Linked DNA regions of Pelodiscus sinensis. The protein of the gene in region 2 binds, or shares a complex with, the protein of the main gene of each other region. Links are inferred from orthologs where the notes say so. Each region holds a gene or a part of one and is shown on either strand. Other genes may lie near its edges. The genes, in order: ACTL6B, SMARCD2, SMARCC2 and PBRM1.

Region 1 (7,176 bases), on a different chromosome or scaffold from region 2:
CACTGTGCCCCCCAAATGTTGTTGTCTGTTGTCCCGTCTCGATGTCCCACAGTGCACTGGAGAGGGGAGACAGGCTGGAATGCCCTCTCCTGGCTCCACCTTGGCTCTTCCCCTCTGTTGGTTCCACCCCCATCCCCACCACCTACTTTGCCCCTCACACAGGCTCTGCCCCCATTCCCACCAGCTGACTCCATGGTCGGTCCCACTGATCCTGCCTGCCAGCTGCAATCCATCCCTACCCTCTTGCCCACCCACTGGCCCCACCTACTCCAGCCTCTCCCTTGGGCACCTCCACAGACCCAGCCTTCCCTTATCCTTTCCCCCCAAGCTGTGGTTCTGGGGAGCTGATTCCTCTACACACCCCCCCAAGCACAGGGGCCTGAAGAAGGGGAAGAGGCTCACCAGGTGGTGTCCCCGGAGCTGGTGATGATTTGATTGTCATCGAGGAAGCGGCAGCAGGAGAGGTAACCTTCCGGGGGGGACAGCAAGATGCTGATTAGCTGGGAGCCGGGGTACTGGCAGGAGCGCATATCCAGGAATCTGGGTTCCCAGCCCCCACGCTGTAACCACCAGACCCCTGTTCCCTCCCCGAGGGAGGAGTAAATCCTAGCAGTCGAGGGCTCACCCGTGTGCCCTGGCAGTTCTCGGCTGACACGGACGTTCCCCTCCCGGGTTTTCAGGCTGTAGATGGAACAGATGTTATCCAGGCCCCCGCAGGCCACATAGTTCCCTGATGGGGCATAAGCGCAAGTCATGACCCAGGACGAACGCAGTGGGATGGCGTGGACCTGGGGAAAAGGAGAAATTACTCTACCTACCCAGGTATGAAGCCAAATGTCCCCTTCCCTAGCCCATCTAAGCCAGTATCCAGCCTGCTGCCACTTCCAGGCTCATCTACCCTGCTATCCTGGGGGTACCCCCCCAACCTCTCTTCCTCAGTATCCCACCTGCTGTCTCTCCCCCCTCTACCCTGGGACCCATCTAAATCTACACCTGCTTCCTCCCCCCTCCCCCACCCAGAGGCCCTTTACCCTGGTATCCTCCCTGCCAAATCCATTCAGCCCATCTATTCCAGTATCCTGTCAGCTGCCCCCTTCCTGGGACCCTTTACCCCAGTATCTCACCAGTCAACTCCCTCACCTTGTTCGTGGTGTAACTGTCCCAGATGATGAGTTTCCCGTCCTGCGATGCACTGACCAGCAGCCTAAGAGGCAGAGAGCCCTCTGATGAGCCAGAGTGGCACTGCGCTGTGGGTGGTGGCTCAAAATACTCCCATTATTTGCTATCAGCCCTTCCCCTGCCTTGCCCCTCCCAGTAACTAGGCCAAGGCCAATCAAAACCAAAGCGACCCCCCCCCCCCCCCCCCAGGCCAATGGAGAAAATGATCCTCCTCTCCTGGCCACGAACACTGAGCCAGGTTCCCTCTCTAACCAGATGCTCTGCCCCAGAGGTGGCTGCATCTCAGCCTGAGAGAGAGGTCCCTGTATAACTAGATGCCCTGCCCTAGAGGTGGCCACATCAGAGTGCTAGGTGAAGGATGCCCATATAGCTCGCTCATCCCAGCTCTCACCTGGAGTCAGTGCCCCAGTGCATGGCATAGATTTTCGCCAGGTGGCCTCGCAGGGTGCGTCGTGTCCGCATCTGGATACGTCCCACAGGGTCCATCCCGGCTGTGATCTAGGGGAGGGGCGGACAGGTGAGGCATGGACCCGCACCCAGCCAGGGAACCTGGAGGCAGGGGAAAGGGGCTGCATGGGGATGCCAGTAACAGGCCCAACACTGCTCACCTGGCTCAGAGTGGAGTCACCACATGCCTTCCTCGCATCCTGGGGGGGGGAGGGAGACCTTGGGTTAAAATCTGAACTGCCCAATACCCCCCTTGCTTTAACCCTACTCCCAGAGCCAGGGACAGAACTCGGGTGTCGACTCCTAGTGCCCCCATGTGGACAGCAGGAAGCGCTACCCCCCCCCCAAAAAAACAGTAGCCATAAAGACCCCCATGGGGGAGAAGTCTGGCAGCCAGGACTCCTGGGTTCAGCATTGGGGGCTCCAACCCCCATGGGCTCCACACACCCGGATCTGGTTCCGCAGCTGCTCTGCCTCCTGCCGAAGCTGCTCCAGCTCACTCATGGCTGTGGTGGGGGGGCAGCGCTGGCGCCACGGCTCCGCTCAGCTGGCGGGAACCTGCACAGAGGAGGAATGCTTAGTGGGATATGGGGCCCCTAGACCTGCTGTGGAGAGTTCTGGCTCCCAGCCCTACCAGGCCCAACCCAGTCCCCATTCCCCTCCCAGAGCCAGGGAAGAGAACTCAGGAGCTCTGGCTCCCAAGCATTATTTTTCCCATTCTCTTGGCCAGTCATGGGGCCAGAGTGGCTGAGGGGGGGCAGGTGTCTGGCACTGCGGATTCTCTGTGTTCCTTCCAGTGTGTTACAGCATCTGGGGGGCGGGGGGGGGGGGCGCTGAGGACAATCAGTAGTTGCTGTGGTGATGGGAGAGGCTTAGCCCCAGCTCCCTTCAACTGATGGTTGCCAAGGCAACAGGATAGGAGACTCAGACAAGATTTAGGATGGAGCAAAAATGGGGGGCAGGGAACAGGATAGCAGGGTGCTCCCACCAGCCACTGACTGGCTGGGAGGCAGGCAGTGGGTGAGTGTGGCCCGGGGCATAGCAGATTGTCCGAACTGGGCATAACTGCTGATCCCATTTGCTTCCGTAAGAAATTCCACAGCCAGTAAATGCCCCCCAGGGCAATGGCACTATCCTGGACTCCTGGGTCCCCGGCCCGGAAGGGGGGGGAAGGGCTGGGAGCCCCGGACTCCTGGGTCCCCGGCCCGGAAGGGGGGGGGAAGGGCCGGCAGCCCCGGACTCCTGGGTCCCCGGCCCGGAAGGGGGGGGAAGGGCCGGCAGCCCCGGACTCCTGGGTCCCCGGCCCGGAAGGGGGGGGGAAGGGCCGGCAGCCCCGGACTCCTGGGTCCCCGGCCCGGAAGGGGGGGGGGGGGGGGAGGGCCGGCAGCCCCGGACTCCTGGGTCCCCGGCCCGGAAGGGGGGGGGGGGGGGAGGGCCGGCAGCCCCGGACTCCTGGGTCCCCGGCCCGGAAGGGGGGGGAAGGGCCGGCAGCCCCGGACTCCTGGGTCCCCGGCCCGGAAGGGGGGGGGGAAGGGCCGGCAGCCCCGGACTCCTGGGTCCCCGGCCCGGAAGGGGGGGGGGGAAGGGCCGGCAGCCCCGGACTCCTGGGTCCCCGGCCCGGAAGGGGGGGGGGGAAGGGCCGGCAGCCCCGGACTCCTGGGTCCCCGGCCCGGAAGGGGGGGGGGGAAGGGCCGGCAGCCCCGGACTCCTGGGTCCCCGGCCCGGAAGGGGGGGGGGGAAGGGCCGGGAGCCCCGGACTCCTGGGTCCCCGGCCCGGAAGGGGGGGGGGAGGGGCCGGCAGCCCCGGACTCCTGGGTCCCCGGCCCGGAAGGGGGGGGGGGAAGGGCCGGCAGCCCCGGACTCCTGGGTCCCCGGCCCGGAAGGGGGGGGGGGAAGGGCCGGCAGCCCCGGACTCCTGGGTCCCCGGCCCGGAAGGGGGGGGGGGGAAGGGCCGGCAGCCCCGGAATCCTGGGTCCCCGGCCCGGAAGGGGGGGGGGGGGGAAGGGCCGGCAGCCCCGGACTCCTGGGTCCCCGGCCCGGAAGGGGGGGGGGGAAGGGCCGGCAGCCCCGGACTCCTGGGTCCCCGGCCCGGAAGGGGGGGGGGGAAGGGCCGGGAGCCCCGGACTCCTGGGTCCCCGGCCCGGAAGGGGGGGGAAGGGCCGGCAGCCCCGGACTCCTGGGTTCTCTCCCCAGCAGGGGGGCTGTTTTCCCGGTGCGGGGCTGCGAGGGGGGAAGCGCAGCGTGGGCAGCTCTCCGGGCCGCAGCTGGGACGGGAGCCTGGGCCCGCTCGTGACTGCGCCCAGCCCCTGCCGATCTGACAGCTGGGGCCCCCTTCTCCTCCCTCCTACCTGGCGCAGCCTGCTTCTGGGGGGCCGGGGACTCCTTTCCGCGGCCGCTCCCCTGGGCGGAAGGATCCGGATCGGGCTCCGCTTCGGCCCTCAGCGGCGGAGCGATCCGCCCCCCCCCGCCTGCTAGCCCCGGTGATGCGGCTGCGGGCGGCCGCGCCCAGAGCCCGAGACGCACCAAATGAAAGGGGCGGGGGAGGAATGAGGGAGAAACCATCTACCATATAGAGGGGTGCTATGGAATGGGAGATACCAACCCACTTCCTGGTCCACCGGGTGAGACCACCTTCCATATGAGGGGTGCTATGGATTCGTTTCTGTGGTGAGAGTGAATTCATCCTTTAATGGGCTAAACCAATTCACTTCCCAGCCTAGGGAGGTTGTGGGATCTGGAGATATTTAAGAGCAGGTTGGACAGACGCTTGTCAGGGACGGTCTAGAATGGTGCTGGGTCCTGCCACGAGGGTAGGGAACTGGTCTTTTCCAGTTCTAGTGTTCTCTGATTACATTCTATGAGTGTGAGACCATTTACTATAGGGAGGGGGCGGTCAGAGGTGGAAGAAACCAATGCACTTCAAGGGGGGAGGTGAGACTACCCACTGTATTTAGAAGGGGGCTAACAATAGGATACACCAAATCGATTCCGGGGTGACGTGAGACCGATGCTCCAATGAGGAAAAGGAGAAAATGACCCATACCAACTCTCTAGGGAGACCCGTCAGAGCACCCCCCCCCCCAAGTAGGAACGGGAGATACCAACTCTCTCTGAGAAGGGGCAGGCAGGGTTCAGTCCTGGATGGGTGGAGAACAAGCAGGGGAGGTTGCTCATTTCCTGGGGGGCGGAGGAGGGAGGGAGACAACTCAGCTTCTGGGGGGGGGGGGAGGAGGGAGAGAGGAAATAAAGATGGGAGATACCAGGACAGGGCGAGACCAACTAATGAAAGCAGAGGGGAGAGATGAGTTGTACCAACCCTGATGTTCTCTGCAATGGGTCAGTCAAACTAGGAAGGGGGAATCAACTCGCAGTCCCCCCTGCTCTAACCCACCTGCCTCCCAGAGAACCCAGGAGTCCTGACTCCCAGCCCCCGCCCCTGCCCTGACCCATCAGCCCCCACTCTCCTCCCAGCAAACCCAGGCGTCCGGGCTGCCAGCCTCCCTTGCTCTAACCACTAACCCAGGAGTCCTGACTCTCAGCCCTCCCCTCCCCTCTGATCCACCAGCCCCCACTCCCCTCCTAGAACCAGGAGCGAACCCAGGAGTCCTGACTCTGAACCCCTCCTGAATTCCTGTACATCCTAGTTCAGGATCTGTCCCCTCCTCTAGGTGAATTTTGCTGTTTTGGAACAACCCAGGGCATGGAATTGCAGAGTGGGGGGAGGTTGAAAGGGGCTGGCTAGAGGAGGTGGGAGCATGTATGGTTGGATGAAGAGGGGCAGGGATGGATGTTTGGATAATAATTTTTGGAGAGGTACCTGGAGTAATTAAATAGAATGTGGGATCTGGTGGGTTAGAGTGGGGTGGAGGGCTGGGAGCCAGGACTCCTGGGTTCTCTCCCTGACTCTGGGAGGGGAATAATGCTTGCTACTTGAGAACTAACCCCCTCCCCAGACACTAATCACCTACCTGCCTCTTTAAGAAAACCCCAGATTATCACTTATTGTCTATTTTGTTAACCAATCAGGAGCTGCCTCGGTTGGGGGGGTGCAGCCTGTGATTGGCTGAGGTGGAAGCTCCCCTCTACGTCTCTCTCTATAGCCCCCCTCCCCTCCACGGTCGCTGTCCAGTCGCCTGGGTGCTGAATAGCCCCCTGCACCCAGCCTCCCCTACATCCCGGACCTCCCTCAAGGATCTGTACGGGGCAGGGGGCGTAGCAGAGCCAGGATGAGTGGGGGTGTCTATGGAGGAGGTAAGGGATCCTCTTTAAGGCTGCCCCCCTTTTTTCTTCACAGCATTGGCACGTGACCCACAGGGGGTGCTCTGCTGCAGGGAGGGGCTAGAGTCAGCAGGGGGTACTCTCCCCTTGGAATCAGGGCTGGCCCCTTTTCTTGGCGCATGAACATTAGCATCTGAGCAAATTCCAGATCCAGACATTGTCTGTTGGAGCGGGGATTGTCTGTGCCTCTGTGCAGCATTGCAGAGTGGTCAGTGCACCACCCCGGCAGTTGGCACATCTCAGTGCCAAGCAAGGGGTCCCTGTGTAACCAGCCACCCCGCTCCAGAGGTAGCTGCATCTCAGCTCTGAGTGAAGGGTCCCTGGATAACCAGATACACTGTCCCAGAGGTGGCCACATCTCAGTGCTGGGCGAGGGGTCCTTGTCCCAGAGGTGGCTGCATAGGTGATTGGTAGTGACTGTTTCTATCTCTCTCCCAGATGAGGTTGGAGCTCTTGTTTTTGACATCGGCTCATTTTCAGTGCGAGCTGGTTATGCTGGAGAAGACTGCCCAAAGGTACATCCAGGCATTCCTGGAACCCCCCTCAACTTTCCCCTATGACCGCGATGTCCAACATGTTAGCCACTAGCCACATGTGGCTAATTTGGCTGGTTGAGTGTGGTATGTGGCTTGAGCAATGTGACTATTTGGCTGGTTGAGTGTGGCTAGTTGTCTATAGCAGTAGCCCGTATAGTGCTTCAGAACTGGTTGGACACCACGGCCCTATGAAACCCTCCTATTCTGGGGTTGGATGGGAACCAGCGCCCCCTAGAGGAGACAAGCCCCATACTCCATTCCCTGCCCCCTTGAGCCAGCCAGTCCCTTGCCCTGGAGCCGGGTGGGAGCCGGTGCCCGTAGAGACAAGCCCTGCATGTCACCCTCTTGCCCCATTGCAGGCAGATTTCCCCACCACAGTGGGACTTTTGGCCCCGGAAGAGGCGGCGCTGGAGCTGGATGGGGAGAAGGAGAAGAAGCCAGGGAAGGTTTATTACATCGATACCAACTCGCTGCATGTCCCGCGGGAGAACACAGAAGTCCTGTCGCCCCTCAAGAATGGCATGAGTGAGGCTTGGGCTCCCGGGACTCCTCCCCTCCTACATGGGACAACCTGCTTTGCCCCAGCCACAGGGCCCCCCAGCCATGGCCCCTCAACCAGTGTCCCCACCAGATTCCCATGGCATTTTCCCCACACCCCCTGCTATGCACTGCCATGGTCCCTCCATCTGACCCACTGCTATGCCCATGCTGCAGACCCATCATACCCCACCTTGCC
Region 2 (7,328 bases):
CCACCATCCTATGCTGACAGAGTGTTTGCACAGTAACTCCACAAGTGAGTCAGCGTCATCTGCTAACGTTTTAATGGACTTTAAGTGGCTAAAAGCCATGCAGAACCAGGAAAAAGAAGGCGTAAACAGAGGCTGAATAGGGGATAAGCCTGCAACAGCAGCTAGACAAAGTTTCTTTAACATCCTGATCACATGCTACAAGATTTGAACAGAATACATTTCTCAGTTAACAATACAGAGCCTGTAATATCATCCTGCACTGCAAACAGTTACCATCTTCAGGAGATGTTAATCCCGGAACCAAGGGTGTTATGTGTTAGTTTCCATAGCATTTTTTGGAAACTGGGCAAGGACAGCCTGCCATCCAACCTTAGCCAAGCAACTCAGGCCAGCCTTTTCTAAAGCAGATTGTAACACCCACCACAGGGTGCAGAGGGGCTATGTGATGACCTATTGTGTGTCCATAACTCACCACCTTAGAAGAGGAAGCACCAATGGGCTGCTGAATAGCCAAATCAAGCCCGCAGTGTCTCCCCCTCTTAGAACCTGGGAAAGCAGACAGCTGTTTGATGCAATTAGTTTGTAGGAGAAACAAAAATAAGTGTTGGCTGGATTCAAGAGCATTCCTATTGAGTACTACAGCTAATACTACAGTATCTCTCTCTCTCACACACCCCCACCCACCCACCCGCCTCAGGAAAAGCAACCCTAGTTCTCCATCCCACCCCTCTGCCAACAGACACCGAACAGCCTGCAAGCACGTCTGCACTGCAGCTGGAAGTGTGCCTCCCAGCCTGGGTACACAGACATGTGCTAGCTTCGCACACCAGAAGTACCTGTGTGGACGCTACACCATAGGCTAGCCCCTTGAGCAAAAGCTTGGCCAGCTCCCTGGGTCTGTATCTGAGTGGCTAGCCTGTATCACCACCTAGGCCACAGCTAGTTTCTGTACACTAGCTTAAGCATGCTCCCAGCTGCAATGCAGACAGAACCTAGAAGTTACCAGACTCTTGTACAGGGAACCAATTGGGGCCCCAAAAGTGCAAAGAAAAGAATTGATTAGGAATCTGTCTCTTGTCCTGTTGTTTTCTAATGACTCTCTTGCAGGAAACCCTCCCCCCAAACACACACACTGCTATTTTAGGCACCATAAAAACCACCAAGCTTCTAGTCAATCTAATCCAGTCACTTTTCAAGTAGAATCCACCATCTCCATTTCATCTTCTCCAAAACAGTCTCTCAACCCCCTCCACCTACCCAGTGACAGCTCCTACCAGGAGCAATCTGAAAAGGATCTCAGCCAAATTCAGAAAAAGGAAATTAAGCATGAGCTTGTTCCCATGAGTCCCTGTCTCATCTCTCTCCTAAGTTCCCTACTGCTTCGGAGAATATGGTGCCACAAGCTGTACTGGTACTACCATTTTTTTAAACTAGTAAATGGAATGACAACATCCAGCCCTCTGGTAAATCCACCTAACTGGCAAATCTTAGGGAACAATTTTCCAGACTCTTCTTCAGTTGACATATTAGGCCTCTTTCCCTACTTTTTCTAAATTGCATTATGGGGAACGAGCTAGAATGGAGAAGCAGAACAGCATAACCACTGTCTACTTGAGCCTAGGTTACTGCTGCACATTATTTTAACTAGACCCTGGCAGCTGTGAGAACCAAATGCTGCGTCCATGACTCCGTTTATCCATCTGTGCCTGGCATGAGGAGCATGGCATTTGTTTTTAAATGCAAACTATGCTGCCATGACCCCGTGTAACTTAGTGCTCTGGGTAGGGCCACACATTGTGAGCACACCTGGAACCAGAGGCAGATGGCCACTTTGTGAAGCTGAGTGTCAGATTGAATACCTGGTGCCTCCGTGGTTTAAGGACTGCGGTTCTAACAGTGAGAGACCTAGTTACCAGCAGGGATGAGCATGTGTGTACATGGCTAACTGATGAGCCTGGGCTCATGGGTTTATGTGCATGGTTACACACAGGCCCTGCCCTGTCTGTGCTGCTGCGGGGAGAAGTGGGGGGAGGTGGGATCCGGTGTTCAAGGGGAGCCAGCACTCCATGTAACTACTGAAATATTCAGTGATTACACATTTACCAGAATAAACATACAGTATTTTAACATCCCTAGTTACCAGAGAGGCTGCCCCAGAGCTGGGACACACTGCCCCATCCGGGAGCAGCAGCAGCACTCCAGCTAGAGAGCCCCCTCCCCCAGGGCATGGGACTGGCAATAATTTCCTCCCTTGGGGGGGCTTCAATCCCCAAGGGAGGGCTGCGGTGTACACTGGACAGGCCGGGAGATGGTATCTGGCCAGGGACTGTTCTGGGAGACTTGCCCACAGCAGGTCCCCCCACTTCCCTCATCCAACACCACTGGACACTTTCCCTGGGTCCCCCCCCACCCTCCCCACATCACAAATGGTCCCTCGGTGCTGAGCCCCCGGCAACCCTAAGTAACCTCCCCCCCACCCCCATGACCTCAGCCCCTCTAAATATCCTCCTCCCCTCCCCCACCCCCCAGTGCCCTGAGCCCCCCGAAACCTCCCCCCCACACCCCCAGCATCCTCCTCCCCTCCCCTCCCCCCAGTGCCCTCAGCCCCCCCAGAAACCTCCTTCCCCTCCCCTCCCCCACCCCCCAGTGCCCTGAGCCCCCCGAAACCTCCCCTCCCCCACCCCCAGCCCCCCAGCATCCTCCTCCCCTCCCCCACCCCCCAGTGCCCTCAGCCCCCCCAGAAACCTCCTTCCCCTCCCCTCCCTCAGCCCCCCCACGGCCCGCACCTGGTACGCCGCGGCGGCGGGCCCCATGGCCCGGTATCCGGCGGGCCCCGCGGCGGCCGGGCCTGGGCCCCGCATGAGGCCGGGCCCCGCGGCGGGGGGGGGCGCGGCGGCGGGCGGCAGGGGGCTGAGCGGGAACGCGCCGCGCCCGGACATCGGCTCGCGCGCCTGTTTACCAGCAACCCGCGGCGGCGCCCTGGGCGAGTCCCGCGCGGCCCGGCCGGCCCCGCCCCCTGAGCCGCGCGCCCCTCCGCAACGAGCCCCGCCCCCTGAGCCGCGCGCCTCTCCGCAACGAGCCCCGCCCCCAGCTCCGGCCCCGGCCCCGGCCCCGGCCCCGCCCCCTGAGCCGTGCGCCTCGCCCTTGACCGAGCCCCGCCCTGTGGGCACTGGCCCCGCCCCCTGAGCCGCGCGCCTCTCCGCAACGAGCCCCGCCCCCAGCTCCGGCCCCGCCCCCTGAGCCGTGCGCCTCGTCGCAACGAGCCCCGCCCCCAGCTCCGGCCCCGCCCCCTGAGCCGTGCGCCTCGGCCCGAGCCCCCTCCTCTCTTCAAGGAGCCCCGCCCCCAGCTCTGACCCCGCTCCCTGAGCCGCGCGCCTAGGCCCCAGCCCCGCCCTTCGCCGAGCCCCGCCCTCTGGGCACTGGCCCCGCCCCGTGAACCCCACGCGCTCACACTAAGGCCTTGGCCCCGCCCCCTCACGGGGCCCGTCCCCTGAGCCTTCCGCTTCGGCCCGAACTCCGCCCCCACGAGCCCGCCTCCTGGGCCCCGCCCCCTTGGCCCTGCCCGCTTCTGCGCCTCAAACCCGCCCCCACGTGGCCCCCTGAGGGGGGCTCAGGCCGGGACCCGGGGGCGGGCTCGCGGGGAGATTGACAGATGTGCCGCGAATTAGAGCGACGGGAGCGTCGCGCCCCCCCCCCCTCCCCGCGCAGAGAAGCTGGCTGCTTTAACTCTCCTGCTCCCTGCTGGGCGCGGGAGGAGGCGGGAGTGATGGGGGGGGCTGCCCCCCCCCGTTCATTCATTAACCTCGCTCCCCTCCCCCGCCCCCCTCGGGCACCCAGAGGGTTTGGGGCTCCTCGTGCTTCTGCATCCCGGGAGCCGGACACCCCAGGGGAGCAGGACTTGGCATGTTGGATCGAACCCGCCCCTGCTCGGAGCCAGGGGTGAACCCCCGTCACGGGACGCTGCTCGCAGGCGCCAGGCGGGAGCTGGTCTGTCCTGAACCAGCTCCCCTCATGGACCGGCTGTCTGAGGGACTGGGGGGGCTCAGCTCCTGGAACTGAGCCGGGCGGCCTGGCTCCTAATACACTTGAAAAGCAGAGCCGCAGTGGGGGTGGGTCCCTAATCCGGCATAAACCAGGAATGAGCTGGGCTGCAGGCCAGCCTGCTAAAAAATGTACTGGCAAGTGGTAGGAAATGCGTGTAGTCTATAGCGGTTAATCGACTACACTATTACATCCCACTTTACCAGTTAAGTGGTTCAACATTCACATTCCTGTGTCCCAAACAGCTCTTGGGCATTCTTAACTTTTCTCTAGTTACGCTAGTTAGGAAATGTTTACACTACAGTAGAAGCTCAGGCTTGAATCCAACATCCTCCCTTCTGTCTACACACAATTCTGTCAGACTTAGCCTGGACCCAAAGGGTACATCTACACTACGGGACAAAGTCAAAGTAAGATACCCAACTTCAGATATGTTAATTGCATAGCTGAAGTCCAAGTAGCTTAACTCAACTTTTGGAGCTGTCTACGCTGCAGGCAGTCAAAGGAAGAACACTATTCCTTCCACTTCCCTTTTCCTCTTGAAAGCAGGATTACCAGTATCAATTGGAGCGTCCCTCACAGTTTGAATTATCTGTCTTAATTAGCTCTGGAAGATCAACAACAGCAGCTTCAATCATCTGTGCAGTGTAGCTGTACCCTAAGACTCTGCAGAGGTGAAGCATTCAAGCCCAGGTCCCACTAGGATTCAGGCCCAAATGTCATCATTTTGCAGCATAGACACAGCTTGGATTCCCAGGGGGTATGTCTACACTACCCCGCTAGTTCGAACTAGCGGGGTAATGTATGCATACCGAACTTGCTAATGAAGCCCGGGATTTGAATTTCCCGGGCTTCATTAGCATAAAGCTGGCTCTGCCATTTTTAAAAGCCGGCTAGTGCGAACCCCGTGCCGCACGGCTACACGCGGCACGGGCTAGATAGTTCGAACTACGTAGTTATTCCGAACTATCTGTACACCGCGCGGCACGGGGTTTGCACTAGCCGGCTTTTAAAAATGGCGGAGCCAGCTTTATGCTAATGAAGCCCGGGAAATTCAAATCCCGGGCTTCATTAGCAAGTTCGGTATGCATACATTACCCCGCTAGTTCGAACTAGCAGGGTAGTGTAGACATACCCTGAGAGTCCATCAGGGTATGTCTACACTACCCCGCTAGTTCGAACTAGCGGGGTAATGTATGCATACCGCACTTGCTAATGAAGCCCGGGATTTGAATTTCCCGGGCTTCATTAGCATAAGCGGGGAGCCGCCATTTTTAAATCCCCGCTGCTTCGAACCCCGTGTAGCGCGGCTACACGGGGCTCGAACTAGGTAGTTCGGACTAGGGTCCTATTCCGAACTACCGTTACTCCTCGTGAAACGAGGTGTACCGGTAGTTCGGAATAGGCACCCTAGTCCGAACTACCTAGTTCGAGCCCCGTGTAGCCGCGCTACACGGGGTTCGAAGCAGCGGGGATTTAAAAATGGCGGCTCCCCGCTTATGCTAATGAAGCCCGGGAAATTCAAATCCCGGGCTTCATTAGCAAGTGTGGTATGCATACATTACCCCGCTAGTTCGAACTAGCGGGGTAGTGTAGACATACCCTCAGTGATTTCTCTCAATCCCATGAGAGAGTGTCCTGTTCCTCTCCACTCCAAAGGTAGCCAATCAACTCCCAAGAAATGGAAGCAACTCACCTTGTTCAAGTACAGCGGCTTGTCACTGAACCCTTGCTTTTATTCTGAGTGCTGAGCTGCATACACAGCGGCTACGTCTAGACTGGCAAGATTTTCCGCAAATGCTTTTAACGGAAAAGTTTTTCCGTTAAAAGCATTTGCGGAAAAGAGAGTCTAGATGGCACGAACGCTTTTCTGCAAAAGCACTTTTTGTGGAAAAGCGTCCGTGCCAATCTAGACGTGGTTTTGCGCAAGAAAGCCCCAATCGCCATTTTCGCCATCGGGGCTTTTTTGCGCAAAACAGTTTTCAGCTGTCTACACTGGCCGTTTTGTGCAAAAGCATTTCCGGAAAATGGCGTTTGCCCGAACGGGAACATCAAAGCATTTGCGCAAGAAGCACTGATTTCGGACAGCAGAACGTCAGTGCTTTTGCGCAAAATCAAGCGGCCAGTCTAGACAACTTGCCAGTCTAGACACAGCCAGTGAGTGCGCTGTGTTTGCAATTGCTGCTGACCAGAAGTCCTTTGCCAAGTGCACTGCTTCCTGGGTGCAGTAGCAGCTCAGGAGCCAGCAAATAGCACAGAAAACAGAGAAATCTGGGTGGGAATTTGTAAGAGGAGGGGTTGCACAGTGTTTTTGTTTGATAGTTTGCTTCCTTCTTGACATGAAGGGTTGGGGGAAAGCCTACAGGTGCATAGGATCACATGGATCCGACAGAGACATCCCTTTAAGGGAAGGTCTGTTAATAGAGATTCTCTATGTCCTAAGAAAGAGGAGAGGATGGAAGATGATAAAATATGGGTAAGATCTGATTAGAAACGGTCAACTGAAAAGAGTCCCATTCAATTACATCATGTAATGGTGGACAGCTACATAGTGACATTTTAAAAATGCTTCTGTACAAACACTGGAAGTCTAAATAATAAGATGGGTGAACTGGAGTCCCTCACATTAAAGGAAGATATTGATATATTAGGCATCACAGAAACTTGTGGAATGAGAATAATCAATGGGATACAGTACTGCCAGGGAACAAAATATATCAGAACAACAGAACAGATTGTGCTGGTAGAGGAGTGGCACTGTATGTGAAAGAATGCATAGAATCAAATGAAGTAAAAATCGTAAATGAACCAAACTCATTTTCTATGGAAAGTAATTCCACACTCTAATACTGTGAGCATAGCAGTAGGGATATATTACCTTGCCACCTGACCAGGATGGTGGTATTGACTATGAAATGCTAAGGGAGATCTGAGAGGCTATAAAAATAAAAAACCTCAATAATAATGAGGGATTTCAATTATCCCCATATTGACTAGGTACACCTCACCTCAGGATGCAATAAAGGGATAAAGTTTCTTGACAACTTAAATGACTGCTACTTGGAGCGGCTGGTTTTGAAACCTACAAGAGGAGAAGCAATACTTGATTTTGTCCTAAGTGGAGCACAAGATCTGGTCCAGGAGGTGAAAATAGCTGGATTTCTTTGAAATAGCGACTAGAATATATATATTAAAAAAAACTTTCCTGTGTCAGGAAAAACATCGTAACAGCCCAAATACTGTGGCATTTAATTTCAGAAAAAGGAATTACACAAAAATGAGGTTAG
Region 3 (7,591 bases), on a different chromosome or scaffold from region 2:
CTCACTCTTCTCACTCTTCTCTTCTGCAGACTAAACAAACCCAAATCCCTCAGCCTCTCCTCATAGGTCATGCGCTCCAGCCCCCTAATTATTTTGGTCGCCCTCCGCTGGACCCTCTCCAATGCGTCCACATCCTTTCTATAGTGGGGGGCCCAGAACTGGACACAATACTCCAGATGTGGCCTCGCCAGAGCTGAATAAAGGGGAATAGTCACTTCTCTAGATCTGCTGGCAATGCTCATCTAATGCACCTAATATGCCATTCGCCTTCTTGGCACAAGGGCACACTGCTGACTCATCTCCAGCTTCTCATCCACTGTAATCTCCAGGCCCTTTTCTGCAGAACTGCTACTTAGCAATTCGGTTCCCAGCCTGTAACAATGCTTGGGATTCTTCTGTCCCAAGTGCAGGACTCTGCACTTGTCCTTGTTGAACCTCATCAGATTTCTTTTGGCCCAATCCTCTAATCTGTCCAGGTCACTCTGGACCCTCTCCCTGCCCTCCAGCGTATTTATCTATCTCCCTCGCTTAGTGTCATCTGCGAACTTGCTGAGGGTGCCATCCATCCCCTCCTCCAGGTCATTAATGAAGATGTTGAACAAAACTGGTCCAAGAACAGATCCTTGGGGTACTTTGCTAGCAACCGACCGCCAACCTAACCCCGAGTCGTTTATCACCACCCATTGGGCCAGACAGTCTAGCCAGCTTTCTATCCATCTTACAGTCCTTTTATTCAATCCATTCTCCCTTAATTTGCTGGCAAGAATATTGTGGGAGACTATATCAGGAGCTTTGCTAAAGTCAAGATATATCACATCCACTGACTTTACCATGTCCACAGAGCCAGTTACCTCATCATAGAGGCTAATCAGATTGGTCAGATACGACTTGCCCTTCGTGAATCCATGCTGACTATTCCTGATCACTTTCCCCTCTTCCAAGTGCTTCAAAATGGATTCCTTGAGGATCCCCTCCATAATTTTTCCGGGGACCAAGGTGAGGCTGACTGGTCTGTAGTTCCCTGGATTGTCCTTCCCTTTTTTAAAGATGGGCACTACATTTGCCTTTTTCCAGTCATCCGGGATCTCTCCCGATCTCCACGAGTTTTCAAAGCTAATGGCCAAAGGCTCTGCAATTACATTTGCCAACTCCCTCAGTACCCTCGGGTGCATTAAATCCGGGCCCATGGATGTGTGCACGTTTAGCTTTTCTAAATCGTTCCTAACTTGTTCCTTCCCCACCAAGGGCTGCCCACCTCCTTTCCATACTGCGTTGCCTAGTGCATTTGTCTGGGAGCTGACCTTGGGTCCCTGGGCACCTGTGAATGACACGGCACCACTTGCCCTGCCCCACGCCAGGCCCGAGAACTCAGCTGGCTCCCAATCAGCAATTCCATCTCCGCAGCCCGGGATGGGGTTTAAACACCCCGCAGCTGCCCAGGCTAGGCCTCCGGGGCTTCTTGTCCTGCAGAAAGCAGCTGGGAAAAGCTCCCCCTTCTATTTCGGCCTTTCTCAGAGGGCTTGGGATCTCACCCGCACTCAGCGCCCATTGTGCCAGGCGCCCTGCATGTGCTACTGGGCCTGATAAGCTCACCCTGCCGCTGGCAGGACATTACCGACGGGTAAGCGGATTCATGGAGCTGTGAAGGGCCAGACTGTCCCGTGAGCCCAGGTCCTGGGGGCCAGGCTGAAAAGCTGCCCCCAGCTACAGGCCCGAGAATGTGGGAAACTGGCTATAAAGCAGCCAGCTGCTGAGAGTCTTTGGCCAAGCTTGGACAAGGGAGCTCCTGCGACAAAAGAGCCCCCCTGCTCCTGGGGCAGGCACAATATCTGGCCTGTAGACAAAAGGCCCGTGGCACGCAGGGTCTCCTGGGGCGGGGGAGCTTTGCCTATGCCATGCTGCAGGATTTCAGGCAAGCTGAGTTAGGGGTTCAGCGGAGACAAGCGTTACCCCCCCCCATCTGCCCCAGGGGGATTTTTGGCACCTTCCTCTGGAAGTGAAACGTGATCCTGGTCGTGGGGGGCTGTGGGGAATGGAACTACACCTGGGTTTAAAACGAAGCTTGGATTTGAGGGCTACGTCGGCCACTGTGACAGGAAGGCTAAACCTGTGCCAGGCATTACTGCTGCACCGATAGGTCCAGTCATGGGCCTGGACCCTACAGTGCTAGGTACTGTACAAACAAAGGGGAACGATCTAAGCCTAAGACATGAGCCCTTAGCTGGACACAGGCAGCCTATCGGGGCAGCAGGAGAACCCTTGGGCCCACAGTGCTCAGCAAAGACCCGGCCCAGCAGGTTTCCTAGCACAGGTGGGTTTTAAAGTGGGACTAGAAGGTGGCAGCTTTGCAGGTATTCGGGGAGCTCCCCCCTGCCCGGCCAGTTCAGGCCCCACACCCGCTCCCCCAAGCTCTCAGAGGCTGGCCGGGCGTCTGAGCTAGACGCCAGGGCAAGGCCACGGGAGATCGGGGTTCACATTCCTGACCCTGCTGCAGGGTGGCTGCATGCTCTGCTCTCTGCCTGGGAGGCCAGAATGGGGCTTGCCCGAAGCAATGGGAACAAAGGGCCAACCCTTGATCCTGTTGCAAGAGGGGTGGGGGTCTTGCTAGGACCTGGCCTCTATGCTCTGCCTCATCCCAAAGCGCCCTGGGGTGGTCCCCGGCAAAGAGGGGCTTGCTTCCCTGGAGAGCCCCATACTCTGCCAGTCTCCCCTGCCCCCTGCTGCTTTTCTACCCACTGACCTGCAAAGCAAATCCACCTTTCTAGCCAACTCCCTGGCAAGTCAGGTATCCCCCAGCTGCTACACCCAGAGCAAATCAAGTTGTGCTAGCAAGTTCTGCTAACGCCCCTCCCCCATTCCTCCAGCCAGCTGTGTCCCCTGCCCCACAGATAGTACTGCTGTGCCCCCCACGAGTTTTGCAATAGCAGATCACATACCCCACACACACATACAGATGAATCCCTGCCCTCCTCTGGCATCCCCCCATCCAGCTGTGTCCTTCCTACCAGCTCTGCAGCCCCCCCTCCCACAACCCACATGTGCCCCCTACTAGCTCTGCATCCCATACCCAGCCCAGATGTACCCCAAATGCCTTTGCACCCCCCCACGCAGCCTAAATACACCCCAGCTAGCTCTGCACCCTTCACCCAGCTTAGATGCACCCCAGGCAGCTCTGCACCCCCCAGCCAGCTCTGCACCCCCTAAGCAGCCTAGGTGCACCCCAAGCAGCTCTGCATGCCCCCAGCATAGCCCTCTGTAGCAGAGGGCCACCAGCTCTGGAATCCCCCAGTTCAGGGATTGCCACCTGTATTCTACACCCCCCAGGTCAGATGTGCGCCCCCCTCCCCGCAGCACTGCCCCCTCCTGTCTGCCGGCAAATGCAAACACAACATACTCACCCCCACAGCCCTGCCTGTGCCTAAAGCGCCCGCCCTCTCCCCAAGTGTTTTTTTAAAAGGTGGGTTTAACGCCTGGGCCTTCCCCACAAAAACGAGTCGCCGTCACGAACAGGATTCGAACCTGTGCGGGGAAACCCCATTGGATTTCGAGTCCAACGCCTTAACCACTCGGCCACCGTGACACCCGGCCAGGGCTTCGCCGAGCTCCGGCTAGAAGATCCACATAGGAGAGGGGCGGGGGGGGGAGCAACAGAATCTTCCTCCCCCCACGCGTGCTGCAGACCCCCGAGTGCCCCCCAACCCCATCGTGACCCCCTGCTCCCCTCCACCACAGGGCCGGGCCCGCCCCTCCTGGCCACGGCTTTCCCAGTGCGCCCCACGGCCTCTCCCCGCCTATCCCCAGAGCTCCCCGCTGCTCCCATCCTGAGACCCCCCCATCTCCCTATGCCCCACAGCCCCCACCCCACAGCCCCCTCCCCGAACCTCTATAGCCTCCTCTGTCCCCCCATTCTGCCATCCCCATAGCCCCCTGTGCCCCACAGCCCCCTCCCCCCCGGCATCCCCACAGCTTCCTCTGCCCCCTCCCCACGGGACCCCCCAGTCCCAGCGATACCCATATAGCCCCACAGCCGCCCCCTCCGCCATGGCACCCCAGCCCCTCCCCACGGGACCCCCAGCCCCCTCTTCTCCCCTCGAAACCTCCAGCCCCCGCCCCACGGAACCCCCCCCCCCAACCCCAGCGATCCCCACAGCCCCTCCCCCCCCGGACTTCCTCTCAGCCCGGGAGCAATTTTCATAGCCCCCCCCACCGCCTCCCCCCATGCACCCCCCCACCCCAGAGATCCCCCCCATAGCCCCACAACCCGCCCCCCCCATCGCCCCGGCGCTGCGCGACGGGAAGATGGCGGCGGCTGGCCGGCAGGGGGCGCCGCGCGGCGGGAAGATGGCGGCGGGCGGCCGGCAGGGGGCGCCGCGCGGCGGGAAGATGGCGGCGCGGGGCGGCCGGCGGCCGGCAGGGGGCGCCGCGCGGCGGGAAGATGGCGGCGCGGGGCGGCGGGCGGCCGGCAGGGGGCGCTGCGCGGCGGGAAGATGGCGGCGCGGGGCGGCCGGCGGCCGGCAGGGGGCGCTGCGCGGCGGGAAGATGGCGGCGCGGGGCGGCGGGCGGCCGGCAGGGGGCGCTGCGCGGCGGGAAGATGGCGGCGCGGGGCGGCGGGCGGCCGGCAGGGGGCGCTGCGCGGCGGGAAGATGGCGGTGCGGAAGAAGGACGGCGGCCCCAACGTCAAGTACTACGAGGCCGCGGACACGGTGGGGCAGTTCGACAGCGCGCGGCTCTGGCTGGGCAAGAACTACAAGAAGGTACCGGCCCGGCCGGCCCCCCCGCCCTGCGCCTCGCCCCCCACGGGCCCCCGCTCCTCGGGCCCCTCCCCCCGCCCCTTCTGCCCCCCCAATCGCCGCACCCCACTGACAGGCGTCAGCCCGCCTCGAGCCCCCTGGGTCACCCACATCTCACCCGCCCCCGTGCCCCCCCGTGCCCCTCCGTGCGCCTGTCCTCCCCACCGACCCCCGTTTCCCCCAGTGTCTGCCCCCCCCAGTGTCTGTCCCCCCCCCCGTGCCTGTCCTCCCCACCGACCCCCTCCCCCGTGCCCCACCAGTGTCTGTCCTCCCCCCTGACCCCCTCCCCCGTGCCCCACCAGTGTCTGTCCTCCCCCCTGACCCCCTCCCCCGTGCCCCACCAGTGTCTGTCCTCCCCCCTGACCCCCTCCCCCGTGCCCCACCAGTGTCTGTCCTCCCCCCTGACCCCCTCCCCCGTGCCCCACCAGTGTCTGTCCTCCCCACTGACCCCCTCCCCCGTGCCCCACCAGTGTCTGTCCTCCCCCCTGACCCCCTCCCCCGTGCCCCACCAGTGTCTGTCCTCCCCCCTGACCCCCTCCCCCGTGCCCCACCAGTGTCTGTCCTCCCCCCTGACCCCCTCCCCCGTGCCCCACCAGTGTCTGTCCTCCCCACTGACACTCCCCCCTCATGTTCCACTGGTGCCTGTCCTAACCACTGACTTCAGTTCTCTATGCCCCACTGGTGCCTGCCCTCTCCATTGACCCCCATCCTCTGTGCCCCACTGGCACCTGTGCTCCATACTGACCCACATCCCCCGTGCCCCATCCTCCCTGCTGATCCCCAGCCTCACTGGCAGCTCACAACCCCCGCCTCCACTGAATTCCCTCAGCCCCTTCCCATCTCCTCAGGGCCCCCGTTCCCCTATGCAGTCCCTTCCCTGCTCCTCCATTACAGCCTCTTTCCCCTCCTTGCCTGAACCCCTCGTTCACCCCCAGCGACCCTCCTGTTCCGCCTTCCAGCGCCTTAATTCCCTTCCAATCACCTACCCCTGTCTCAGCACCTCATTGAATTCCCCCTCTACTCCCCCCAGCTCCGCAGAGGCCTTACAGTGCATGGGGCTGATCTGATTTGTACAGGAAGGGGGAGGGGGGTTGTTCCCCACCTAACCACATCTGTCCTGGGGAAGGTGCCCCCTTAACACTCTCTTGGGTCCCCCATCTCACCCACCGTGGCTGGGAGCCGTGTCCCTTCCTGGTGTGCGGAGATGCGAGCCAGGCTCCCACTAGGAACTGCTCCATTTCCTATCCCCTCTCGGGGGGGCCCAGCCCCGCAGCTGATAACGTCGGTCTCCCCTCGGATCCTTGTCCATCTTTCACCCAAGTCCTTTTGCCTGCCTGTGCCGAGACAAAGGCCAGCCTGTGTGCGGGGAAAAGTGACCGAGCCAAGCCCCTATACTAGGGCTTGGGATCCCTCACTCCCGTGAAACCGTCACCAGATCTGGGCTGCGAGGAGTCTTTTCTTTGCAAGGGTAGCTTTAGGGTTACGATCATCCAGCCACCTGCTGCGCTGTCTCAGCATAGGGCGTGTGGGCGGGGTCCTGCGGGCCCCACCTGGCTCTTCCAACCCCCTCGCCTCCCCCTTGTGCTGTCATGCAAGCAGCATGGGTCTGTGGTTCCCAGGCTGTTGCCTTTGACCTTCCACAGGCAGCGAGAAGCTGAGTCACCAGACAGCTCCTGGCTCTGGAGTGACAGGCTGACCTGGCCATCCCTGCTCACTGGGAATTGGCCTTTTCACACCCTCGCAGGGTTGAACCACTGCCGGAAGCTGGGACTGGCGGACAGGGGATGGCTCGCTAGCTAATTGCCCTCTTCTGTTCATTCCCTCTGAAGCCCTGGCGACCGCCACTGTGAAAGACAGGCGGCTGGGCTGGAGAGGCCATTGGTCTGCCCCAGTGCGGCCGTTCCTACGTCCTTCACTCCCCTCCCCCTAACTATCTTCAGCTAAAGGCTCTGCCCCCATGTGCCAGGCTGCCTGCTGACTATCATCTCTGTGCCCACACCCATACCAATTGGGTGAAATACGCGTCACCTCCAGCAGAATCCTAGAGTTGGATGAGACCTCAGGCAGTCGTCCTCAAAGCAGGACCAACCGCAACTACATTGCCCTAGCCAGGGCTTTTGGCAAGCCGGGGCTTAAAACTTCTAAGGATAGAGATGCCGTCACCTCCCTAGGCAACCCATCCCAGCGCTTCCCACCCTACTAGGGAATTAGCTTTTCCTAATAACCAACCTCTACCTCCCCCACGGCAACCTGAGACCATTGCCCCTTGTTCTGTCATCTACAGATAGCTACATGGGGCATTTGCTTTGGGTTGCCTCAGAGTTTGAAACAAGCGCAGTTTATTGCTCTGGATTATTCCAGTGATGCTGGAGGGGGGGAACCAAACGCCATCAGGGCACCCTTGGGCTGGGTGCTGGACAGACACATGGCGAGAGACCGTCCTTCTCTCAGTCATCACAGGCAAGACAAAGTGTGGAAGGAGAAAGCGGCCCAGGGAAAGATGAAGAAGCCATTCCTTGGGGCAGAGGCGGGACCGTGGTCAGCCAAATTCCTGCCCCTTGCAATTCATGGTCCTCAGGGAAAGGCCTTTGTATGGAATGGCCGATATGATCTGCTTGTTTATTTCCTGGGAGTCTTGGTTCCCAGACAGACCCCAGGGCCAGGCCCCCAATGCTGCCTCTGTTTAAAAAGAGCTGCACTCAGTCTGACAAAAGGCACCCTTGGGGACAGAACATCCCAGCCAGCGATCCCCTCAGCCTCTCCCCACCTGCTGGGCCATCTAGCTTCAGCTGGGGCTCTGC
Region 4 (7,885 bases), on a different chromosome or scaffold from region 2:
TAAAAACAACCAATAAGGCAGACACACAGATGTCAAGAAAACTATTTTTTGCTATGTGGGCATCCTTCGCATTACTGCAGAAACCGTTTTCAGATCATTGGTAAATGTCACAAAATGACAGAGGAAACTAGGGATACAAAGGGTTAATACTTAAGAGATAAGCATGCCCTTACTGGCTTACCTGGGTAACCCTGGCCCTTTCTGACAACAAAAATTAGTACAGGATCTCCCCCAGGTGCCGCCACCTTGGACAGGAGGGCCAAAACTGAAGCCCAAGCCTCACCACCCCAGGGTGCAGGGCAGAAGCCAAAGTCCAAGTTCTTCAGCACTGACTGGGGGAGGAACGGCAAAGCTCTTGATGACAGGGGTCTGGCTCTGACCATAGGTCCCTGTAAGTCTAGCACCAATCTTGGCAATACATTAAAATGGGGCTGCATTCCAATTTGGGGTCCTGACACACAGTTTGAAAACCTCTGCTCTGGACTAAATACAGTAAACTTCCGATAATCCGGAACCTTTGGGACCCACATTATCAGATATGCCGGACTATCAGAAGGAGGGGCTATGAGGGGGGGGGGAATGACACCCCAGACCCCCTCATAGCCCCCCCTTCCGATAGTCCGGCTCTGCCCCAGGAATCCCTGATTCAGCCGCTGCTGAAACTGACCAGCAGCGGCTGAATCAGAGACGCCTGGGGCAGAGCAGCTGGAGTGCTGCTGGGTTGGTCCGGTAGTGCCAACCCAGGCGTCCCCAAGAGCAGCTGGGGTGCTGCTGGGTTGGTCCCACAGCGCCGCTCCATGGAGCTACTGGACCAACCCGGCAGCACCCCAGCTGCTCTGCCCCAGGTGTCCCCAAGTCAGCTGCTGAAACTGACCAGCGGCTGACTCCAGGAAGCCCGAGGCAGAGCTGCTCTGCCCCAGGCTTCCTGGAGTCAGCCGCTGGTCAGTTTCAACAGCGGCTGAATCTGGACGCCTGAGACAGAGCAGCTGGAGCGCTGCCGGGTTGGTCCCCGCAGCGCCACACCTCGGCTCTGCGGGAACCAACCTGGCAGCACCCCAGCTGCTCTACCCCAGGTGTCCCCAAGTCAGCTGCTGCTGAAACTGATCAGCGGCTGATTCCAGGAAGCCCGGGGCAGAGCAGCTCTGCCTCAGGCTTCCTGGAGTCAGCCGCTGGTCAGTTTCAGCAGCGGCTGAATCAGGGACACCTGGGATGCTGCCCAGTTGGTCCAGCAGCCCCGAGGGGCAGAGCTAGGGGACCAACCTGGCAGAGCCCCAGGTGCTCTGCCCCCGGCATCCCCGATTCAGCCGCTGGTCAGTTTTAGCAGCGGCTGAATGGGGAAGCAGGGGGCAGAGCAGCTCCAATGGTCCGGCTGCCCGGAGCACTTCCGGGTTCCTGATGGTGCCGGACCATCAGATGCCGGACCATCAGAGTTTTACTGCATGCCTAATTCTTTCAGCCTTTTCTCAGAAAGGGACAAAATACCGCTTCTGTCCCAGAGAACATGTCAGGGCAGGTAGAAATGATAGACAAATTCACGTGAATGACAGTCTTACAAATCAAAATACAGAAACAGGATGATGTAATAGATGGTCTCGGCCTCAATTTTTTCACCTGTAAAGTACTGGGTGCATAGTTAACAACTGTAGAATACTTGAAGATGCGTATGTAGCTATACAAAAATATTTTATTAATATTTATAGGGCCATATATAGACCCAATCCTCCCAAAAACCTTTTACCGAAAAGGCCTCACAAACTTTCCTAGAACATGTATTCCTTTAAAGTACCATTTAGTAATATTTGAATATTAGCAGACCTGTATTTTACCCAGTAGTTGATCAAATAAGTGGTCACATTCTGTCCCTTGTCCATTACCCCTTCAAAAATTAATAAAGAAATAAATATGTGCATTTAATGTTGCTAACTTTATCCTTTTACAGTACATCATTCCCTCCACTGACTTTTCCTCATATGGTCAAACGTGTTTCAGGATTTATCAGTAATCATATAAAATGATAATATGTTCCCTTTAGGGATATAAAATTCCAGTTAAGTGGTTAACCAGTTAAAGTATTTGATCAGTTAACCACACATGAGGAGGAGTTGAAGGGGAAGCTGCCCCAGCCAAAGCCCCTTGTGCTGTGGCAATGAAGACTGTGGAATCCCCATCCCTGGAAGTTTTTAAGAACAGATTGGACTAGGGGTGTTAAATATTGGTTAATTGGTTACTCAGCTATTCTATAGTCCCCGGTGAGGGGCTGGCAGGCAGTATGCTCTGGCCCCACTCCCGAGGAGCCCCCTGCCACTCCGTGCTGCAGCAGCCCCTGTCCGTGGGGAGAGGGGGGAGCTCCCAGACCTGGCGCAAGCTGGAACTGAGCCGGGCTGCCTGCCCGCCTGGCTCCTCATACGGTTTAAATGCAGAGCCGCAGCAGGGGGTCGGTCCCAGACCCCGCGCAAGCCAGGACTGAACCCGGCTGCTACAAGATGTACTGGGGGAGGAGAGTGGTGTATCTCTAGCACGGACTGGTCGCTTTGCTGATCAGCTAATCGGCTCCGCTGTTACCTCCCTCGGCTGGACACAAGGGATGATGCAGGGTTAGTCGGTCCTGGCTCGGCATGGGCGGGGCCTCCCCCTACACGTCGAGGGGGCTTTGCCGTGCCCCAGGCCGTGCCCCCCGGGGTCAGCGCTGGGCCAGGGCTCCCGGGTCCGTACGGCGAGCGGACTGCCCGCTCCGTGCCTCAGTTTCCCCCGCGGCGGGAGAGCTCCGGGGGGGGCGCAGCGGTGCGAACAGGGGCTGGGCCCCCCCGGGCAGCGCGGCGGCCACACAAAGGGAAGCGGCGGCCTCCCGCAGCCCGGCCCGCGCTTACCCAGCCGGCCTCGCTCCGCCTCCGACAGCCGCGGCCGCGCTCGCCCCCCGCCACCGCTGCTGCTGTTCCGGCCGCTCCTGCCCACTGCCGGGCCCGCCGCTGCCGCAAAGCCCGCCCGGCCGCCAAGCGAGCCCGCCGCGCGACAGCGCGCGCAGCGGCACCCGCCTGCTTTACGGCAGCGTCGCGGGACCCGCCTGCCCCTCGCCAGTCGGCGGCCTCCACGTGCCGAGAGCGGAGCCCGCCGCCGCCGCGCCATGAAGCGGCCCAGTGAGTGCGCGCGTGCGAGGGGCTGGCAGAGCCCCCCCCCCCCCGCGAGTTCTTCCGGGCTGCTGAGGGGAGGGGGTGACGGCGGCTGCGGCTGGGACCCCGGGGCCCGTCGGCCCCCCCCCCCCCCCCCCGGCTCCTACGAGCCTGCGGCGGCAGGGCCAGGCCACAGCGCGGCTCGCCCCACGTGCTCGCAGTTGCCTGCGGGATCGGGGCCCGCGTGTGGAGCTGAGCTCGATTTTTTCCAACCCGGGGTTTGGGGGGCGGCCCGAAAGGTGCCGCTTCGGGCCCGGCCCAGCGAGTCGGTTCAGCCCAGGAACAACGGAAATAGCGGTTAATTTTGAAAAGTGAACGTCGATTGATTTAAACCTAAGATGTTGTCTTACATTCAAATCTGACCCTTTAAAAAGATAAAACATAACGGGTATGTCTGCAGTACGGGGCCAAGTCGAATTAAGACCTGCAGCTTCAGCTACATGAATTGTGTAGATGAAGTTGCTTAATTCAGCTTTTGGCTACGCTGCAGGAAGTCAAAGTAAGAGCCACTCTTCCATCGACTTCCCTCCCTCCTGGTGAAAGCATGGTCACTGCATCAGCCAGAGTGCCCCTCTCACTTCCAATTAGCTGTCTTAACTAGACAGTTAATTCGAACCCTGGAAGAGCGACAGCTTCCATCTTCCTCTACTGTAGACATACCCAAAGTGAAAAAACACCCAAAAGTGACTAAATTGAAACAAAAAAATCAGGACAAAAATTGTTTTGATCAAATGAAATATTTTGATCGATTTTAAAAGTCCCTTTTTAGTTTTCAGTTCAGCAAAATATTTTGAGGTGGGGAATCATTTGGATTAAATAAAATTTTGGTTTTTTTTCCCATCTGAACCAAAAATCTGTTGTTTGTTAAGCTTCTTTGGCTACATGTTTTTGGCTTCCACATTAGTGTTGCTCATAAGATTTTCATTTGGAAGATCTACTTAATTGCAACCTGTTCTTATGTTTTCAGAGTTGAAGAAGGCTAGTAAGCGCATGACCTGCCACAAACGATATAAAATTCAGAAAAAGGTAGGTCCCAGTGCCAAATTTGGTATTAAGCATGCTTGGCTATATTTCAGCCCTCATCATAGAATATATAAAGACATATTTTTGTGGTGTTTAGAAACTGTAAATTTCAGCTCTGCATTCAAATTTGGGTGGGGGATTGAATGTAAAGTTTTGAATAGAACCCATTTCTGTTTAAAGCATAACTAAATGAAGGTGCTTGAATGACCAAAATGCTTTTGGAGTGTGGTGTTATTTTTATTTAACTTCTTATATCACAGTAGTACTAGTAACTAGCCGAATAATTTCAAAGCTGTTGGTGTTTCTTGTTTGAATAAACATTCATAAATTGATTATGGCCTGAGTGCAATTTGTATTATAATGTGAATGCTAGATACTAGTTACAGAGAGGTAGCCATGTTAGTCTGATCTTGCTAAAACAAAAAAAGCAGTCATGTAGTACTTTAAAGACTAATAAGGTATGATACGATCTGAAGAAGTGGGTCTGCCCCACAAAAGCTCATCACCTAAGTAAAGACTAACAAGATAGTTTAAGTGCTAGATATTAATATCCCAGTGCCAAGAATTCACGCATGTACAAATCATTTTCTTTTCTAATGCCAAATACCTTGACAAATAATACAAAAATTATGTAATACAGAACTTTTGTGAGTGGACATATGGTTCAACTACAATGGGAAGTTACTTTTAAATTTAGGGAACAAATCCACAGTGGCAGAGAGATGGACATAACTTGAGTCTTGGGATCTTTAATTTCTGCAGTAGTCGGGGATCTGTTTATTTAAGTACAGCTACATGCTGATTCAGTCTGTAATTGAAAGCCCTTCACTGCAAACACAGAAAAATCGTATATACGTGACTATGAAAGAGAGAGAATGGTGAGGGTCTCTGTATCAAACTGGGTTTGTGACTCCCATACTGGATTTTATTTTTTCTTGCCTATAGGTTCGGGAGCACAACAGAAAACTCAGGAAAGAAGCCAAGAAACGTGGACACAAAAAGCCCAAGAAAGATCCAGGAATTCCCAACGCTGCACCATTTAAGGAACAAGTTCTTCGTGAAGCTGAGCAAAGGAAACAAAGGGTAAATTACAGGTTAGAATAGAATGAAGGGGTTTTGTGCATATTCCCATTCCAGGGAAGCTTGGTATGTATCATGCACTATAAATAGTCTTAATAGCTCTTCACTCTAAAATACTACAGATACTTTTCCAATTTAATATATTAGATAACAACTAGCTATACTAAATCGTGTGGAATTTTTTAGTATTTTGTACTGTAACTGTATAGAAGTAAAATACAAATGTGTGGAATTTTTAGCATAATTAGTTTCCTACAAAGAATAAGATTTCTACATAACCTACACAGCTGTCTTTAAAAAGGAAAAAAATTGCTGAAGACTGCTGTACATAGATATTTGTGGATAGCATTCACTGTCTGCTCATGTTACTACACAGAGGGACCACATCTACCATCATTTAGAAGGTGTCTGTCACTATAGTATTTCTGTCTGTCTTGGCACCAGAGTTAACTGAGTGCCTCAAAACGTTTAATTGGCAGTGAATGTATCAACTTTTCATCAAGTAAGAGAAGGAGTAGAAATAAGCTTGCATCAGCCAACCAGTTCCTTAAGCTCCCAGCCATGATTTCTTAATATTTCCATACCAAGATTGAAAGGATAACGGAGACTGAATATCCCCTTTCCTTCAGTGTGACCACACTAGGTCAAGATTAAAACAAAAACCATACTCAAGAGTGAAATCTTGGTCCCATTGATGTTTTGCCATTAAGTCATTGCAACCAGAATTTCACTCCTTATGTGGATAGAGAACTTAGCTTTCTAGGGCGCTTAACCTGGCACAATTCATTAGCACTAAAAACTGCAAAATATTCAAAGAATAATTCTAGGTGGTAATGTGTTGCACTTTTATAGTGCTGCTCTTTATTTCTGAAGCACGTCATAAACAATCCTGATCATAAGTGGGAAGGAAATATACTCTTTAGCTTATGAAATGTTGTCCATCTTGTGTTGCAATTAGCTTGAAGAACTAAAACAGAAGCAGAAACTTGCTAGGCAGAAGAACCTTGAAAAGAAAAGAAAGCTACAAGCTAAAAAGGATGCTACCGAAACGAAGAAACATCCAGAAGAAAAGGTATGTGTTTGTAGTATAATTTTCCTTTTTTTCAAAGAAGCTAGTTCACTTGCAGCACAATAGAAAAGTTTCTATCCTCTCATAAAGCCTAATCCAGCACCCTTTGAAGTCTATGGCAAAATTCCCATTGTTTTCATGTTGGAGCAACAGAAAAGACTTGTTGATATATTTAGTGAGGATATGGCAATTATAATGCATCCGTTTTAATCAAAGTAAATATAGGGTGTCTGTTTTAGTGCTAACATCCATTTTCATGCAGTGTTCAAGAACAATATTGCAAATATCACAGCCTGGCTAGGTCTGAGTCCATTAAGATGTATACGTGTGATAAATGTAATCCTCGAAGTATCTTTTTTCTTAAGACATGTATTCCCGGATTTGTTGCTTTTTCATGTTGTTGGAAATATTGTAGTTCTAACTGTTATTACCTTCTGTTGTGTAAAGACAATATTTTAATTCAAATTCTCTTATCTGCTCCCACCCTCTTTTTATTCAGCAATCAACCATGAAACTAAAAGCACAATCGAACAGACTGCTGGATAAAAATTCAAATAAATCATTTTGCAGAGAACTTAAAAAGGTAGGAACTTTTAATGACCACTTTCTATATTTTGATCAGCATCCAAACACCCGTGAAATTGATACTTTCCTTTTCAGGTATTTTGTTTCTATTCAGAGGTGGACATCGTATGGAGTTTAAAGTTTGAGAACAATGCACTTTCAGGGTCCCAGTCTTGTAAAGGTGCTGAGAATTCTCACCTCTCATTGAGGGTAGTCGGCACTTTTCAGCAACATGACTTTTGGACTCAATGAGCATTTTACCAAAGTGCTTCAGGATCAGGTTATTAATTATTAGACTCTTAATTCTCAATTAACTAATATCTGCCTGCTTAAAGAAAAAGATAAAGGGGCTTTACTTTTCTGTCCTGCAAGACAGAGCCCTACAGTACCCTTGTATTACTATGTTGTTTTAGCAATAGCAGAGTAATACTGACCTGTGTTAGAGAGAACTAACTGAGAAATCCATTGAGCTGTAGCCAGTAGGATGGTGGGAAAAATTAAATTCTGTGGTATTCTAGTTTTCCTTAAAACCTTTTATCATTTCAGATAACAGTGACAAAGATTTACACACACACAAAGATTGCCCTATTAAAAATTGAATGAAGCAAGTCGATCAGTGCGCAACATTGATCTGTTCTTGATTGACCCCATTTATCTCTGCTACTGTAGAGCAGTGGTGGGGAGCCTCAGGCCCGGGGGCCTGTTGCGGCCCCTGAGGCTCATTGTAATGAGAGGATAGTATTGATGATTTCAAAGATATTCTCTATAATGCTGTTTCTAATCCTGTTTCCACTTCAGGTGATGGAGGTTTCAGATATAGTCCTGCAGGTTTTAGATGCCAGAGATCCCTTGGGCTCTCGGTGCTCCCAGGTAGAACAAATCATTACTCAGTCTGGAGGAAACAAAAAGCTACTATTGGTGTTAAACAAAATTGGTAAGTGAAGCAGTTTGTTCTGTACAGACATTTAGTCACTCATCTGGT

Evidence for each region.
Region 1: SMARCD2 (region 2) and ACTL6B share a complex: the UniProt entries of both Homo sapiens proteins name them as parts of the BAF complex. The link is inferred for Pelodiscus sinensis from reciprocal best matches to the Homo sapiens genes SMARCD2 and ACTL6B.
Region 3: SMARCD2 (region 2) and SMARCC2 share a complex: the UniProt entries of both Homo sapiens proteins name them as parts of the BAF complex. The link is inferred for Pelodiscus sinensis from reciprocal best matches to the Homo sapiens genes SMARCD2 and SMARCC2.
Region 4: SMARCD2 (region 2) and PBRM1 share a complex: the UniProt entries of both Homo sapiens proteins name them as parts of the SWI/SNF-B (PBAF) chromatin remodeling complex. The link is inferred for Pelodiscus sinensis from reciprocal best matches to the Homo sapiens genes SMARCD2 and PBRM1.

Annotation. Positions count from the first base shown.
Region 1 is NC_134734.1:9,006,990-9,014,165, forward strand, and holds the start of ACTL6B (actin-like protein 6B), read left to right. Parts: upstream 1-4,163; 5' UTR 4,164-4,293; intron 4,294-4,326; exon of another isoform or gene 4,327-4,946; coding exon of another isoform or gene 4,947-4,962; intron 4,963-4,968; exon of another isoform or gene 4,969-5,294; intron 5,295-5,652; exon of another isoform or gene 5,653-5,726; 5' UTR 5,727-5,852; coding exon 5,853-5,877; intron 5,878-6,342; coding exon 6,343-6,419; intron 6,420-6,799; coding exon 6,800-6,965; intron 6,966-7,176. Other genes in the region: GNB2 (guanine nucleotide-binding protein G(I)/G(S)/G(T) subunit beta-2), read right to left, coding at 1-56, 403-469, 626-788, 1,141-1,204, 1,571-1,677, 1,788-1,826, 2,074-2,130. UniProt on the Homo sapiens protein: Involved in transcriptional activation and repression of select genes by chromatin remodeling (alteration of DNA-nucleosome topology).
Region 2 is NW_027466048.1:882,047-889,374, reverse strand, and holds the start of SMARCD2 (SWI/SNF-related matrix-associated actin-dependent regulator of chromatin subfamily D member 2), read right to left. Parts: upstream 3,017-7,328; 5' UTR 2,940-3,016; coding exon 2,787-2,939; intron 1-2,786. UniProt on the Homo sapiens protein: Involved in transcriptional activation and repression of select genes by chromatin remodeling (alteration of DNA-nucleosome topology).
Region 3 is NC_134729.1:4,054,293-4,061,883, forward strand, and holds the start of SMARCC2 (SWI/SNF complex subunit SMARCC2), read left to right. Parts: upstream 1-4,579; 5' UTR 4,580-4,643; coding exon 4,644-4,754; intron 4,755-7,591. UniProt on the Homo sapiens protein: Involved in transcriptional activation and repression of select genes by chromatin remodeling (alteration of DNA-nucleosome topology).
Region 4 is NC_134721.1:41,054,299-41,062,183, reverse strand, and holds the start of PBRM1 (protein polybromo-1), read right to left. Parts: upstream 3,006-7,885; 5' UTR 2,868-3,005; intron 2,595-2,867; coding exon of another isoform or gene 2,585-2,594; exon of another isoform or gene 2,570-2,584; intron 552-2,569; exon of another isoform or gene 1-551. Other genes in the region: GNL3 (guanine nucleotide-binding protein-like 3), read left to right, coding at 3,621-3,666, 4,135-4,193, 5,136-5,273, 6,229-6,342, 6,839-6,922, 7,702-7,837. UniProt on the Homo sapiens protein: Involved in transcriptional activation and repression of select genes by chromatin remodeling (alteration of DNA-nucleosome topology). Required for the stability of the SWI/SNF chromatin remodeling complex SWI/SNF-B (PBAF).